Struthio camelus: one gene and its partner. The protein of the gene in region 1 interacts with the protein of each later gene in a pairwise test. Links are inferred from orthologs where the notes say so. Each region holds a gene or a part of one and is shown in the gene's direction. Other genes may lie near its edges.

Region 1 (6,977 bases):
TATGAACAGCTGACTTTTATCATTATATGTGAGGAATTCTATAATTAATAAATAATGAATATAGAAGGCAAAATTATAAGAATTATAATTAATAAGAATTATTAATAAGAGGAAATAATTAATAATTCCTGCCTGTGTAGTACAAACAAACCTTCCGATGCTCCCTCTGGAAGTGTTTATTAATATAAACATATCTAATACATCATTAAGGTGTTTTCTTGGGTGGCTTATTGAACAAATTAGTTATTTATTACGGGAGGGGTGAAGTAGGTAAGAATACCGGTAAACAGCGAAAAAGCAAAGAGAAATAGATTTGCTACCAGGAGACATATTAGCACAACAAATGAACATTTTTTTGCCAGATAAAATCAGCATTCATTTCATATCAGAGAGTGCATCATGTAGAGCATGTGAGGCTGAATTGAAGGTCAAGGCCAGTCTGCTTGCTTCATTTTTCAGTGAACCATTACCTCCTTGTGCTTAGTTGGAGTCATTAGTACCTCCAAAGAGGAAAACTAAAGAGAGAAATGGCAACAAGAAGAGATTCTACAGGGTATCATAGTTATCACTGTAATGTGCACACACAACCATAATCAAACTCACACACACTGAATAAACCAATTAGTCGCTCTAGTAGCAGTGAAGCAATTAAAATGTATAGACATATCTGCACCATAAGTTGTAGATGGACTAGGAAAAGAGAGGGGCTTTCTTCCTTTTTCACCCCTTTGTCAGCCAAATAGACTGGAATTTCTCAGCCTGCTGAGTTCAATACTGTAAAAAGTAGAATTCTAGTTGGTCACTGTCATTCCACTTGTCATTTATTTCTGCTTTAAAACTGGGGACAGTGCTGTATTAGAGAAAAAAATACGTATTTGTGTACTGAGGAGTCCATGTCGATGGAAAGCTGCAGTCGAGCTTTCTCTCTAAAGCAATTGATTCCATAAGGGTGGGTGACTATAATTGTAACTAGATTCAGCATCTGCATAGATATAATAAGCAGGAACCAAAACTGTTGTTTTCTCAGACAAATGCAGAAAAGCTAGACCAAAGCCAGCTATTAATCCGGCCTATTAGTATGTGGACGGAATGACTGATACTGGTTTCTCCTCCCAAATTCTCCATTTGTCTCTGAACTCTTTTTCTATACAGATCATGTAAAGAGAAGATGCCCATACTGGTATATTACAGTTCCCTTCTCCAAACAAAATTTTTTTTCCTCTTTTTTTTCCAGGGGCAAACCCAGCTCTGATCTGAAGAGGAATGGTCTGTGCAGCTAAACTACAGGATGTTGATTGTACGCTGTGCTGGAGGGCAGTAGTATTAAACAATATACCCTGATGGATCCTCCTTGTAATACCATGCTTATCTCTCTGGAAATGTTTTTCATAATTTCTTTTTTGTCCCCTATTAGCCATGCCCTCCTTTTTGTACTTCCTTCTAAGGGGCTGGTTTCTGTAGTGGGAAAAGATTCTGCTAAAAATCTATATTTATGATGCTGCTATACCAGATACCCCCATTCTCTTACCAGCGTTATCTGGCTTATGTACCTACAAAGTATTTTTCCGAACATGTCCATCTCTAACCTTGCATAGCTCAAAATTCGTTGAAATAGAAATCAAGTCTGCAGTGAGTTTTTACTTGTCTTATCATTGTGAAAAACCTACCGCACAATTACAGGCTATATGAGCTACAAACTCAAACTTTTCTTTTGTGAAATAACATTTAAATTCCTTGCTACTGACTCTGTGGTTTAAAAATCATAATGCAGTGTGAAATATTAAGCATATCCTTTTATATACTTTGAATTTATGGGGACTTCAAAGACAGTCCTCATTTATTGCCTGGTTTGTTTCACTTCAGAAATGACTTGAACTGTGAACAAAAAGGAAGTGACAATATTTTCAGATAGGCACTTTATAGTTGTGCACTTTGCAACTATACGATAGGACTGTCTCTGCTGCCTTGCATGCAGGATTAGCTTGTTGATATGTGCTGCTACAGACAGAGGAACAGATGCAGTAATTCTACTTTATTTACATGAAATCTCTAAAAAGACATTTTCTGGCAGCATGCTAGGAATAAATACGGTATCAAATACAAACTGCACCACGTTATGTGAGCTTATTCAGGTGCCAGCTGTGCCATTTAGATACAGGCTAGAGCAGGCAGTCGAACCCTAACAGCAGAGCTGGGAGGTCTCCCGCGCTCGGCACCCACCGGTGCCAGCTCATTCCCAGCGCTGCCTGTGGGGTCGGGGTTTGCACCCTGCTGCTGCCCCGTGCCTGTGGCCAGCGGCATGTCCAGGCTTTGCTGCTAACCTCGGGGATCAGCTCTGCAAGCAGCGCAGAGGGATGTGCCCTGCGCCGCCCTTGGGGAGAGCGCTGTTGAGGGAGGCTGAGAGGTAGCTATGAGACTTCCTGAATTGTTTTTAAAAGTAGTGAGAGATTCTCTTGCCTTGGGGTTGTGGGTCCCCCCCCCCCAGACTTTCTCTGATATATAGCTCTCCTAAGCTCATGTTTTCTAGCTTTTTTTCATAGCCTTTGGGTACTTAACTGAGAATAGGAAATTGTGGGGAGGAAGGGAGCAAAGCGGTAGGGTTGGAGGGGAAAGCATGGAGAAGCTAAACACATCTATTGGAGAGAGGATTTTTTGTTTTGTTTTGTTTTTAAGAAAAAATGAATCTTTTGCGCTAGGAATGCGAGAACTGGTCCAGAGCTGGATGACGCAGCGAGGTAAAGCTCCTTGTGAGGGACTGTGCCCTTTCCCCTTCGTCACTCCTTCTTTTGTCATTGTGTAAAGGCTGGGGAGGTGAGACTCTGGTGTTAGTCCTCCTCCTCCCTCCCTACTTCGCTTAAGTAATGTATTGTGGCCAATCAGTTGCAGTTTTAAAAAGCCTTTTTTTTTTCCTGGCTTAAGCATTCAAACTTTTCAGTGTAGTGTTGGGGATGTTTATTCAATCTCTGTGCAAGCAGATGCATTAAAGATGAACTGCCGTGACTCTGAATTTCAGGCAGAAGCGGTGGGAGGAGACCCAGCTAATTTAACTTGGTGGATGATTGATGTCTCTTTGTCAATTTGTATTAACACTCATTTGAAATCCCTGACGCAAGCCTGCTTCCCCCCTCCCCCCCACCCCGACAGGAAATATAAATAGAAAGACAACAGAACAGTCCTACCCCTTTAATTCCCAGTACTCAGAAGCAGTTAAGTGAACTCTGTCATTATGGAGTGTCCTCCACAGCCTGGCGAAAAACAGCTTCTGGCAGTGTTCTTGCCACTTTAAGAATATCAAGATGCTGTAACAGAGCTATCCACTTACTGCTAGAATGTATAAAACACAAAAAAGGGAAAGTCACCTACAGGTAGATCTAGATATATTGCTTAAAAATCTCCTGTTTCTTCATTAGACAGCCATTCACTGCAATGAAAGAGAGCTAAATATAATTTGTCGAGGTGTAGCTCTGAAAGCCACGTTTAAAATGAAACAGTTGAGAGCCTGAATGCACAGTACTGTTATTCAGAAGTAGCTTTAGAGCAGAGAGTTTCAATGGGAAGGTGCTGTTTAGTTGGACACAAATCAGCAAGCATTTAACTGAAGTGTGAATAAACCAAGTGTGCATGAGGCGCAGTGCTTTCTGCAAAGACGAAATGCAAAAATATTAAAAAAAAATCTTTAAACACTTGCATCAGCCTTAGAGGACGGTGTGAGCAGCAGGATGCGAAACCGATTTGCAGATGCACTCTCTTCAGGCAGCGAGAGTGCTCATTAAATGCAAGATGCTTCTGGGGCTCGCGCGTGCACACGGAGGTATAGGTTTGCAAGACTGACGTATCAGATAAAGTCAGAGTGGTTACCACACCGACGGAGTAGCAGCTGCATAATAAATGATGGAGAGAATCATGTTAGGCATGCCCACCTAACCGAACTTGAATCATGCGAAAGGGGAGCTGCTGGAATTCAAATAGACTTTCTGGTTCCCAGCAGTCGGCAGTAATAGAATGCTTTCAGGAAGATGACAGATGCAGGGAGAAGATGCTGTTTTGCACTATCTTGATTTGTTACGGCAGCCAACTTATTGGCATGATGGAGTGACAAGAAAAGCAGCTGGCATGGAAGGTAGGCTTATCAAAGCTATTGCATCATTATGAATGTAATTAGAAAGTGACCATGACAAAGCATATGTTAGAATGAGCTGCGGCTGACGGCAGAGGATTTGTTGCTGAGGTCTTGAAACTCTGGAAACAATGTTCCTTTTGCAAAATGGATTTTGTAATTTCATTTCTGCTTGTGTTACTTTTTTCTTATGCTCGCCTCTAAGCTCAGGGAATCCCTTGCCTGAAAGAGAGCGTTATGTTAGGATGAGGTTGAAGACTAAAGTCTTTTCTAAGTCTGTGAAGCCTCAGGTAGATAGAAACAAACAGATGTGAAACAACACTGGCAAAGGCTCCATATGATTTACCAGCCAGCTCTGATTGATGTATTGGCATATTGAGGAATCCCACGGAAATGAAGATGCATGTATTAAATGTGTTGATGTAATGAAAAGATACTACTGCAGGTTTCTGCTTTATAGTTACTCTGACAGGTTTTATTCCCCATCAGTTTTTAGCTCTTGACATTTATTCGGTTGTTCAGTATTATATAAAGAAAATACATCAATATCTCCTGCAGGGTTTTTCAACAACTCTGGCATCTGTTTCAGCTATTGAACTGTATTCACGTTTTGCCAACTTGATGTCTACCCAGCTGGTCTATCATTTCTCGCTTGATTACTGCTCTTAATTTCTCTGTATCAGCTTGTTTCAGATAGGATTTTGAAAGCTGTTAATGAGAAATGACGGCAACTGCTAAATTATTGAGAATTGGCATATTGTCTTATTTTTGAAACATCAGAGAGCAGTTTTGCATGTATTTTATTAAATTCATATTCCATGTTGCAGTAATGTTTTCATATAACCACTACATTTTAGCCGTGAATACTTTAAACCAGATGAGTCATAAGTATAACTTTAGACTGCCTGTTTTAAGAAAGTTTGAGATCATTTAGAGGTGCTTACTTTGGTCTAGGTATCATCTATATATATGTTCCTTCATTCTGTCTGTCTCCCCCCACCAGCCCCCCAACATATATACTCCCTCTCTGTCGTGGTGAGCAATCCTCAAGTGTATACTGTACATATTGAAATATATTTTATCACCACTAGGGTGAAACTGCTAAGCAGTTCTGAACAGGTGATTTGAACAGGTTTAAAACAGATGTCAGCTGTGTCAAAGTGGATTGTTCTGGGTCTGAAAAGGAAAAGTGCTGTTTTGTGAGAGTAAGGCAGAGGCTTATTTTGCTTCACCTTTGGAGGTACAACAACCATTCAAACACTGCTTGATAGCCCCCAGGAAACAATCATTGGATTGGATTATTTTGTAATACAATGTGCTTTCTGTAGACGCTCTTCATGCTTAGGTATATCTTTTTTTTTTTTTTTTCCAAAATGATATTCAAAAAATCTCCTATCACACTGGATGTTCACTTTCTAACTTTGTTTTAAATTACTTTGCTGGCTGTAAGCTAGGTAGTCTTGCCAGAAGAGAATCGGGCTATTAAAGGCTAAGTGTTGCTGACTAGATCTATAACAGTTTTTAAAAAGATAGGTGTTTCTAGATACACAGCAGTGAACCAGCCTTTAAAAAGTTTGAAAATAAAGATCAGTAAAACTATACTCTTAGGCAATTTGAGCATTTTTGTGCTTTGATCACCTCTGGGAGGCATTTTAAATTATTTTATAACTGCTAGGAGGGAAGAAGTGCTTATTAATGGACAAAATCACTATCAGGTTTGTATAGTCACCAGTAGTTCTATGATTTTGATGATAAAAACTATTGTTATGCTATTTCAGAGAAGTTCTGTTAGGTTCAAAGGTAATTTGTCCTTCTTGTTGATTATAAAACCATAGAGAGAATAACCCATATAAGCAGCTTAAGTGTCATTTACCTTTTCAGGGTAGCAGTAAAACCATTTTATATTGCATGAGGTATACTTCTGAAGCTGTTGGTTGTTCTTTGTCACAAGACTGCTGGCTGGCTATCATCAGACGGTAGTTATTTTAAATATTATTTTGCTTGTGATGACAGTATCATAATTGCATGCCATCTGTGGCCACCATCCAGCTGAAAAGTGATTTTATAGTTTGCTTCTCTTTTGTCAATAGTAGTTAGTTTTAGCTTTTTGTTTCGCTGATGAATTAAGAAGACACTAGGTGGAGCTAGCTATTGATTCTAAAGAGAGATACAGTAATACAGGCCTGTCTAATGAGCAAGCCCGTGTATGTAGTGATTATTATAAAATATAACAATAAAAAATAGGTAAAGCTTGGAGCTGGACCTTAGTCATGAAATTGGAGACCTGATGGCGTTAAAGGAAACGACTTCACCATTTTTCTTTCTTTTTATTATTTTATATCAGAGATGATAATAATAATAAAGCATCTATATTCAACAAAGAAGGCTGGGAAGCAAAAGAAAGGAAATAAAGGATGAAAAGAGGAGAAAAGCAACAATAGGAGCCAACAGATGCTTTCATTGCAGATACCTGCAGAAATCCAATCGTGTATCTGTCTTATTTTAGTCTGTTGCATGTAAATTTTTCTCTCTTCTTTACATATAAATCCCTCTTTCCTGTCTTCCTGATTTAATTTATATAGCTGACATCTGTCACTTTATAGTTAGCTATGGGACCAATGTTTTGAAATCATTTCTTGCAAGGGTGATCTAAAAGGTGTGCAGGGGCACAGGAAGTTGTCACTCACATGTTGGTTAGCCTTAATTAGGAAATATGTAAAAAGTTATTTATTGATAGAGGTGGAAGCTGATTATTTGCACTCCTAAATATTATTTTAGTTATTAAACCTTCAGTATAGGATAAGGATTCTGTAATCTTAGGTAGTGTAATCTTACTTTCATGTCCGTTTCCTGTTCGTCT
Region 2 (7,202 bases), on another chromosome or scaffold:
TTGATGTGCTTTCCCCTTCCACTCTGCTCCAACTTTATCCTCACCTGGAGGAAAGAGAGAGGGAGCTCAAGGAAAGCAATCTGATCCTTAGCCCTAATCTGATCCTTAGCACTAAGCTCTGCATTCCAGACTACAGCTGGTATATCTAGGAATATATATATCTATCTAGGAAGCAATGGAGGCACTACTTCCTGTTACCTCTGCATATTTGGGATGTCCTACGTGGGAGGATAAAAGAGCAATTACCAGCTTTTGGAATCCATCCTCAAAGTGTTATTAATTTAGGTAATTCCTATGTCTTATTTGATTAATTATAAATATACATGTAAAACTGCTCAGTTACCAAATTTACTGAAAAGTCCTCTGATCTCATCAGCTATTTTTTCCAGCATTTCCTTGTTCTCTGTGCTGTGTTTCCTAGACCAACTGCTCTTTGGGCCACAAACTTTTAGGTTCTTCTTCACAACACACAAGTTCAAACCTGTATTGACTGATTTCATTGTTACATGGTATCTGCTTTACTATGTATGTCTCAACAATGCACACATAACAGCTCTAACAACCTGTTTCCTAAGGGTTAGACACAAGGTTTCTCACAGTTGAAAAGGTTTCTGCCCTCATTGGTGACCTTATTCCAGTCAAAATGACCAGATTAGCAAAAACAGTTTTACCGTTTAAGCTTAACCTTAATCTCATTTTGCTTTAAATAGCCCAGGGAAAACACACACACACACACACACATCTTAGCTGGAAGGTAAGAGGAGGTGCTATTCCATCACCTGGACAGTGATGACTGGCTAGAAGGTAAGCTGAGGCTGATTGGCAACCTCTTCAGACAAGTCAAAGTACAGGTGGAATAAGATGTGTTTACTCATTAGTACATTTCATATCATTCCCATTAAAGCTAAGAGGCCATCATCCATGGCCTAACTATGCGTAAAAGCTCAAAACAGCTCTCCTTCTTAGGAGAGTTGTCATTGTTGGGGCACATGGGACATTAGAGAACAGACTGAGACTTTTGGCTCAGCCATGTGCTGGGCTGTTTTCTCCTACAAAAGGTGCATCAGGAAGAAGAGGGAGAGATGAAGAGCTAGACTAGGGAACATGAGAAAAGCAGGGACTTAACAATGCTGTGGTTTACCTTTTATGTGGGAACCCAAGCTTGTGGGAGATCATGGACAGAGGAGCAGAAGGTGTCCCATCCTTGGGTAAAGTCTAGAAGAGATATGAGGAAGAATAGATTGACCTGTTCATAATGCTGTGGGGATACGAAACACTTCCTTCCCCTTGATAACTGACAAAGTTATGAGGTTAGAAATATAGTCCATTAGGCATGACTCTTGTCCTCTATCCTTGTACTTCAGATACCTTTCAGATAACAGGTAGAGGTGAACAGTAGTAGCTATCTAGAAACTGCAGTGGCCAGTGGTCCTCCTCCTGCATTATAGGAGTGAGGAGCATTTTCTTTGGGATGGTGGGCTATTGCTTTCCTGAATCTGTCACATGGGCTGAGAATGATAGGAGAAAAACATTCTAGCTCTGTGCATTATACATTTAGACTGCTCCCTCTGAAGTGTGTGTTGTCATGCCAAAGGTGTAGTTGTTATCTATCACAGTGGCTCATTCAAATTGCCTTAATATAATTAAAAAGCACAATTAACCTCCAGGCTATCATGTTTGAAGATCTCCTCAAGATATCTTCAAAGATGTCAGTATGCAGCATTCTAGAGCTTTTCAATTGTGTTAAATTAAAACCATCACAAAATGCACTGTTTGTCTAACACAGGACCTGGAAGCAGAGCATGTGGTTTCCACGTTTAAACTGGAAGGACATGAAGTGAGAGAGCTAGACAATGTTGTCACTAGCTTGACTTACTAATGCTACTTCTCTAGTGAAGGCAAAAGGAAAGGAGAAGACAGTGGTAGATTGTGAATAGGACTTCTGCCTGCAGAAAGCAGTTGCAAAATTCCTACTCACAAATCAGGACGTTTGCCCAATCTGAGTAGAAAAGGATTTTAAAATGCTATTTTTGTTGTCTTTTTTTTTTTTTCCTCAGGACAAAACTTGTTTTCTTTTTCAATGTGAAGTAAAATGGTGCAGGGAAACTATATCCCAAAGGAATGTAGTTGTCTCTCCCTCTCTCTTGCACTACTGACACTTTGTCTGATGTATGCCTCAGCTCATACAATCCAAAGTCCCCTGTACAGCCTTGTGGAGTTTGCATCCAGGCTTGTCCTAAGCACTAAAACATAATAGAAGACAATAAATGTTCTGGAAGGCTTAGAATCAAGGTATTGAGAAAGATATAAAGGGAGAACAAATGATGTGGAAAAGAATGAGAGATGTTTTAAGTAAATGGATAGAATTTCAGAGAAACAGAGGAAAAAAAACAAGAAATCACAAGTGTGTTCTAAACCACTTTTATCAAACATGACTCACATTTATTTCAAAGTCTACCCCACCATCTAAATGATTTTGTACCACAGTAGATTTAAGTCTTCAGTTCTTTCCTGTAATACTTGATGCTGTAAAGGTGTCATTTTAGAAAGTATGATATGAGACCATGTTTAGAAAATATGATATGAAACCAATTTCCTGAAGAGCTAGGAATAGGGTCATACTTTTATCTAGGGTTATACTAGTAGTTCTGACAATTTTCTTTTTTAATAAATATGGAAGACTCTGTAGGACAACAGATGCTATCCTTTTTAACCTTCTGTCCAGGTTTCAATATTTAGCTAGAGATGTTGTAATCAAATAGGTCAGAAGTGTTTCTGAAGACAGAAAATGAGACAAAATCTTTGTAAAAAATGTAAAAAAGCCAAAAGACATTTTACACAGTTGTTTTGTCTGAGCTCAGAGTAGTTAAACACAAATCAGTTCTGACTAGGAAACTAAATAGCTATGTTAGAGTAGTTCGTGAGCCTAAATCCTAAGTAGGGCTTGTTGGCTCCATGCATTGAGTTACCCCCATTCTGGACTAGAGCTGCTCTGCACCTTGGTAGTTTGGATCACAGCCATAAGAGCTTGCTACTGTTCCCACAAGTTTGGGCAGACAGGCCTGTAGAAGAATCAGCATTATCAAATACATAGTCAGATTAGATGAGTAAGCAGTCATGCATTGATATTTCTAGACTATAGGTCATAAACTAATGTGGGGAGGTGAGTTTAGTCCGTTCCTAAAGCCAAAGAAAACATTCATTCATTTGAAAATATTTTTGCATTCTTCTTGCTAAATCATCCATAGATGTTCTGCTTTAGCACCAAAGCTGGGTAATGTCAGATACATATGAAAGTTGTCCTCTAAACCAGCCAATGTGCAGGCATAGGAAACAAATCATTGAAAGGAGGGAGGTGAGTTTTTCACTGGGAGGCTGCAAAAGGGGAAGAAGAAATTTAATTTAATACAGCTAACCAACCTTTGCAGAGATCACATAAAATAAACTAATCTTGACTTAAATAATCTTCAGTAATACAGTGACTGTGTAGCTAACTTTCCAGTTCCCCCTGTACCCGTGTCCCTGATTTCCTGCCTGGGACTACCCTTCCCCTCAAATTTGTGCTGGCTAGGGTGGGTGAAGCAGAAGTCTGGCTACGCACCTGGACTCTCGTTTTCTGGAAGGCTACCCAAGCCCTGCAGCCACTGCAGAGCGTGGACCCTTGCCCCAGCTGCAAACATGCACAGGGAAGAGACTTCCACACCCAGGCACGGATCCTCGAACCTGGGTGTTTCGACCCTCCGACGCCGCCATCCTGGGAGAGGCCGCCTACCTACGGCAAGGAAAACGCAAACCAGGTCGGGGCGGCTGCCGAGGGGGCAAGCACCAGTCCTTCCTCCAGCGGCTCGAAAGTTCAGCGTAGAGCCCTGCGTGGGCAGCGGGGAGGTAGCGAGGCTGATACGGGACACGGGTGCCACTCACCCGCCCAGTCCCGGGAACACGGCCGCAGCACGGCTGCACTCGCTTACCCGCCGCGTGGGGGGAAGGGGAAGCCGGGAGGCTACGCGCGCTCGCCTGCGCGGCGGGGGTTGGCGGAAGCGCCCCGCTCCGGGACACGGCGTGGGAGAGGCGAGTGCAGGGTGGGGGGAAGGCTGCCGGTAGTTGTGGTGCTAGCGCCTGGTGAGGAGAGTGCAGAAACTGGAACTGTCGCTTTAAATCCCATCCCATCCCAAGGGGGCGTGGAAGGGGCCGTGGGGGGGGGGAGGAGGTTGAGCGCGCGCGCGTGCGGCATCTCTGTGCGCTTCGGCAAGGCAGCGGTGCCCTGGCTGGCGGGGGCGGGGCAGGGCAGCGCAGGCTGTCGTGTGGGTAGCGGCCGGGAGGAGGGGAGTTGGTTTCGAGGGAGTTGGGGGTCCTTCTCTGCTCCCCGCCATGGCCATGTCTCCGTGCAGCAGCAGTGGTGTTTCCTCGTCGTCCTCGTCGGGATTGGGGACGGACGCAGGACTGGAGATCCGCACGCGCTCCGTGGAGCAAACGTTGGTTCCGCTGGTGTCGCAGGTAGAAATCCGCACCGCTGAGCCTGTCCTCCCTCCCCCAGCCGGGGGTAGGGCGGAAGGGAGCGGTTCCAACCGCCGGCGGAGGCATGGCGCGGGTGGGTCCGGTTGCCCCCCTTCTCGGCCGGCTCTGAGCTTGGCCGCGGCAGAAGTTTGTGCGCTCGGCTCTCGCCGCTCTGTAGTTCCCCTGTTTGCGGAGGCAGCTTCACTTTGCTGCTCCCTCTCCCTCCTGTTTTCTTCTCAACCAGCATCCTGGTCCCGGAGATCCCGCTGGGGCTGGGTCCCGCCATCTGGCCTGGGACGGGATCTCCCGCTCCTTCAGGGCCCTGTGCGGGGGAGGGGGCAGGAATGCCGCTCCCAGAGGGCGGCGGGCTCCGGAGAGGCACCTGGAGGGGTGCGCGCCCTCTCACACGTGTCCCCCGGTAAAACTCCTGGCGCCGAAGTTTCCCGCAAGGTTGCGGTGGCGTTGCGTAACGCCTGTGGCAAGCCACTGCGTTGCCGTACGTGTTTTAAACGCGGGATGCTGCAGTTTGGAGCGCAGGAGCTGGGAGACGGCGTTGGTTTGGCTTCTCTTCATGTGCCTGAGTGGTGAAATGTGTGTAAGTTATGCGGCTGGAACTATTAACGTTGCTCTTAAAACAAAAGTATTTCAAGAGGCTTTTCAAGTCTCTTGCCTTCGGTTTTTCAGCTTGTGAATATTCTCTTTTTCTAACTTTTTGATACTGGAGAAAGCAGTCGATTTTCAGGGGATTTGTCTAAACGTAGTTATTTTCACTGTCAGGCCTGAATGTTGCATTCATTTGAATTCTGATCACATCCGAGGCTACTACTTGAATTTTAAAAAGTTAAATAACATGTAAACTGTGCTTTTGTGACCTCTTAATGTGTCCCACACAGTGCCAGCTAGGCTTAAAAGTCTGATTTTTTTTTTTTTTCTTCCCTAAAGTGGTCTTAAGTGGTGAATGTATGTGATTCTTTAAGTGGTAAATATATGCAGACCACTTCATTTTATCAACTCCTAAGTTTCAAAATTAGAGTTTGATACACCTGATAAATTTGTTCTTCTTTGTGTATATTATTTTGATTCATTATTTTTCAGTATTTTCTTTATAGTATTTTTGTGCTTTTATACTGGTTATTTTTATACTGGTTATAAACGTTAGCAGGTAGAAACCTATGACATCCACACAAAGTCTTTATACAATGTGTAGCATTCATACAAAAATCACTAGCCCTTGTGATGGAAAGTGGTATCTATACTAACATAGCCCATCTGGAAGCAAACTTTTGTGAGCCTCATTTTGCATTTGTAACAGCCAGGCATCAGGAAAGGTTTGCAGTAGGGTAATTGAGGTTCTGTACTTACCAGTGCAGTTAGTTGTCCTCTGTTTAAAGAAGTCTCCATCAGTTCAAAGAATTCCATCTCCAGGATTTTGCTTTGAAGGCAAAATCAAATCAAAGATAAAGTTCAATGAATTTTCCACTCCTGAAGCAATTCAGGGAGGTAAAATATTGAGACTACTTTTAGGAAGCTTGAAAACGAACAAGCAAAGAAACAATTGCAGAGGGCAAACTTAATTGCAAAAGTTTAAATTCTTACTTTTGACAGATCTCTGTGAAGAATTCTTATTCTTCTGGAATAATAATGGTGGTCTTGCTTCATTGTGGATTCACTGCACATGTAACATGTCATGCATGATTTGTTGTTGACCACAAAATCTATGACTGTGTCTTCCAGAAATGTTCCACATCTTTCACGTGTACAATACAATGTGTTCTGAGCATTTCTGAGTACTCAGTTCTTATTCTTTTCCTGGTAAAGTGCTCTGAACTTCAGGTGAGCTTATTCCCTTGAATCTTGAGTACTAAGAGTTCCAGTCAGATCAGCCTATAAAGTTGCTAATGACGTCAGCTGTAGGGCATTCCATAGGGCATGTTCAGTGAACTACTTGCTGTGCTGTTTTATGAATTCTTTCTTTACTATTTCTTGTAAATTGTTAAGTAGAGGTCTGGCTGTTAACTGTAGGTTTTCTTTGCTTGGGTATTTTTGCAGAAATGGTGTTTATTAATATAGATTGTTTTACTTGTTTCTATATGCTGCTCAGTTTACACGAGCTGCGTATCTGCAGAAGTGTTTGGGACTTTATTTTTCTGCTTGTACAAAATACACTTGCAAAGTTTTTTTTTTTTTTTTTGCTCTGAGGTTAATAAGTTTATTTCTGGAACTATTTTGTTCAGTTTAAAAAAAAAAAAACTTGTATTTGTATGCTACTGGAAAAAAATACTCAGAGCGTTGTTATTGGTTTTCACTACTTCTTTTAAGCAAAGAGGAAGACAATAGGATGCTATGTCTGTCAGACTCGCTTTCAATCTCCTTTGTTTAGCCAAACCTCTTTTTCCTTTTTTAGCAAAAAATGGCTGCGTAGACCCTTAATTGATGCACTGTTTAGTACATTGTACTAATTGATGTATAGTACTTTTTTTAAGGTTAGTATTTATAAACTTGAGCTTGGTCTTCATTTTACCTGAATCTGTTTAGAGCTTAATGTGGCCCTTTTATAATAGGGCCACAACTGCAGACTCAAGCCACAGTATTCCATATTTACTAATATTTTTTTCTAACTGTCTACATATCCATACTCTGGACAGAGTCATTCTACAGTATAGCACAAAGCATATGTGATAAAATTCAGAAAATATGGTTTTATGGGT

The links.
Region 2: the proteins of DMD (region 1) and CTNNAL1 interact in binary tests that used the Homo sapiens proteins (3 or more experiments, as listed by UniProt). The two-hybrid records come from large-scale screens. The link is inferred for Struthio camelus from reciprocal best matches to the Homo sapiens genes DMD and CTNNAL1.

Annotation. Positions count from the first base shown.
Region 1 is NC_090942.1:130,523,881-130,530,857, forward strand, and holds the start of DMD (dystrophin), read left to right. Parts: upstream 1-3,963; 5' UTR 3,964-4,023; coding exon 4,024-4,120; intron 4,121-6,977. UniProt on the Homo sapiens protein: Anchors the extracellular matrix to the cytoskeleton via F-actin. Ligand for dystroglycan.
Region 2 is NC_090943.1:74,944,637-74,951,838, forward strand, and holds the start of CTNNAL1 (alpha-catulin), read left to right. Parts: upstream 1-4,192; 5' UTR 4,193-4,368; coding exon 4,369-4,494; exon of another isoform or gene 4,495-5,065; coding exon of another isoform or gene 5,066-5,089; intron 5,090-7,202. UniProt on the Homo sapiens protein: May modulate the Rho pathway signaling by providing a scaffold for the Lbc Rho guanine nucleotide exchange factor (ARHGEF1).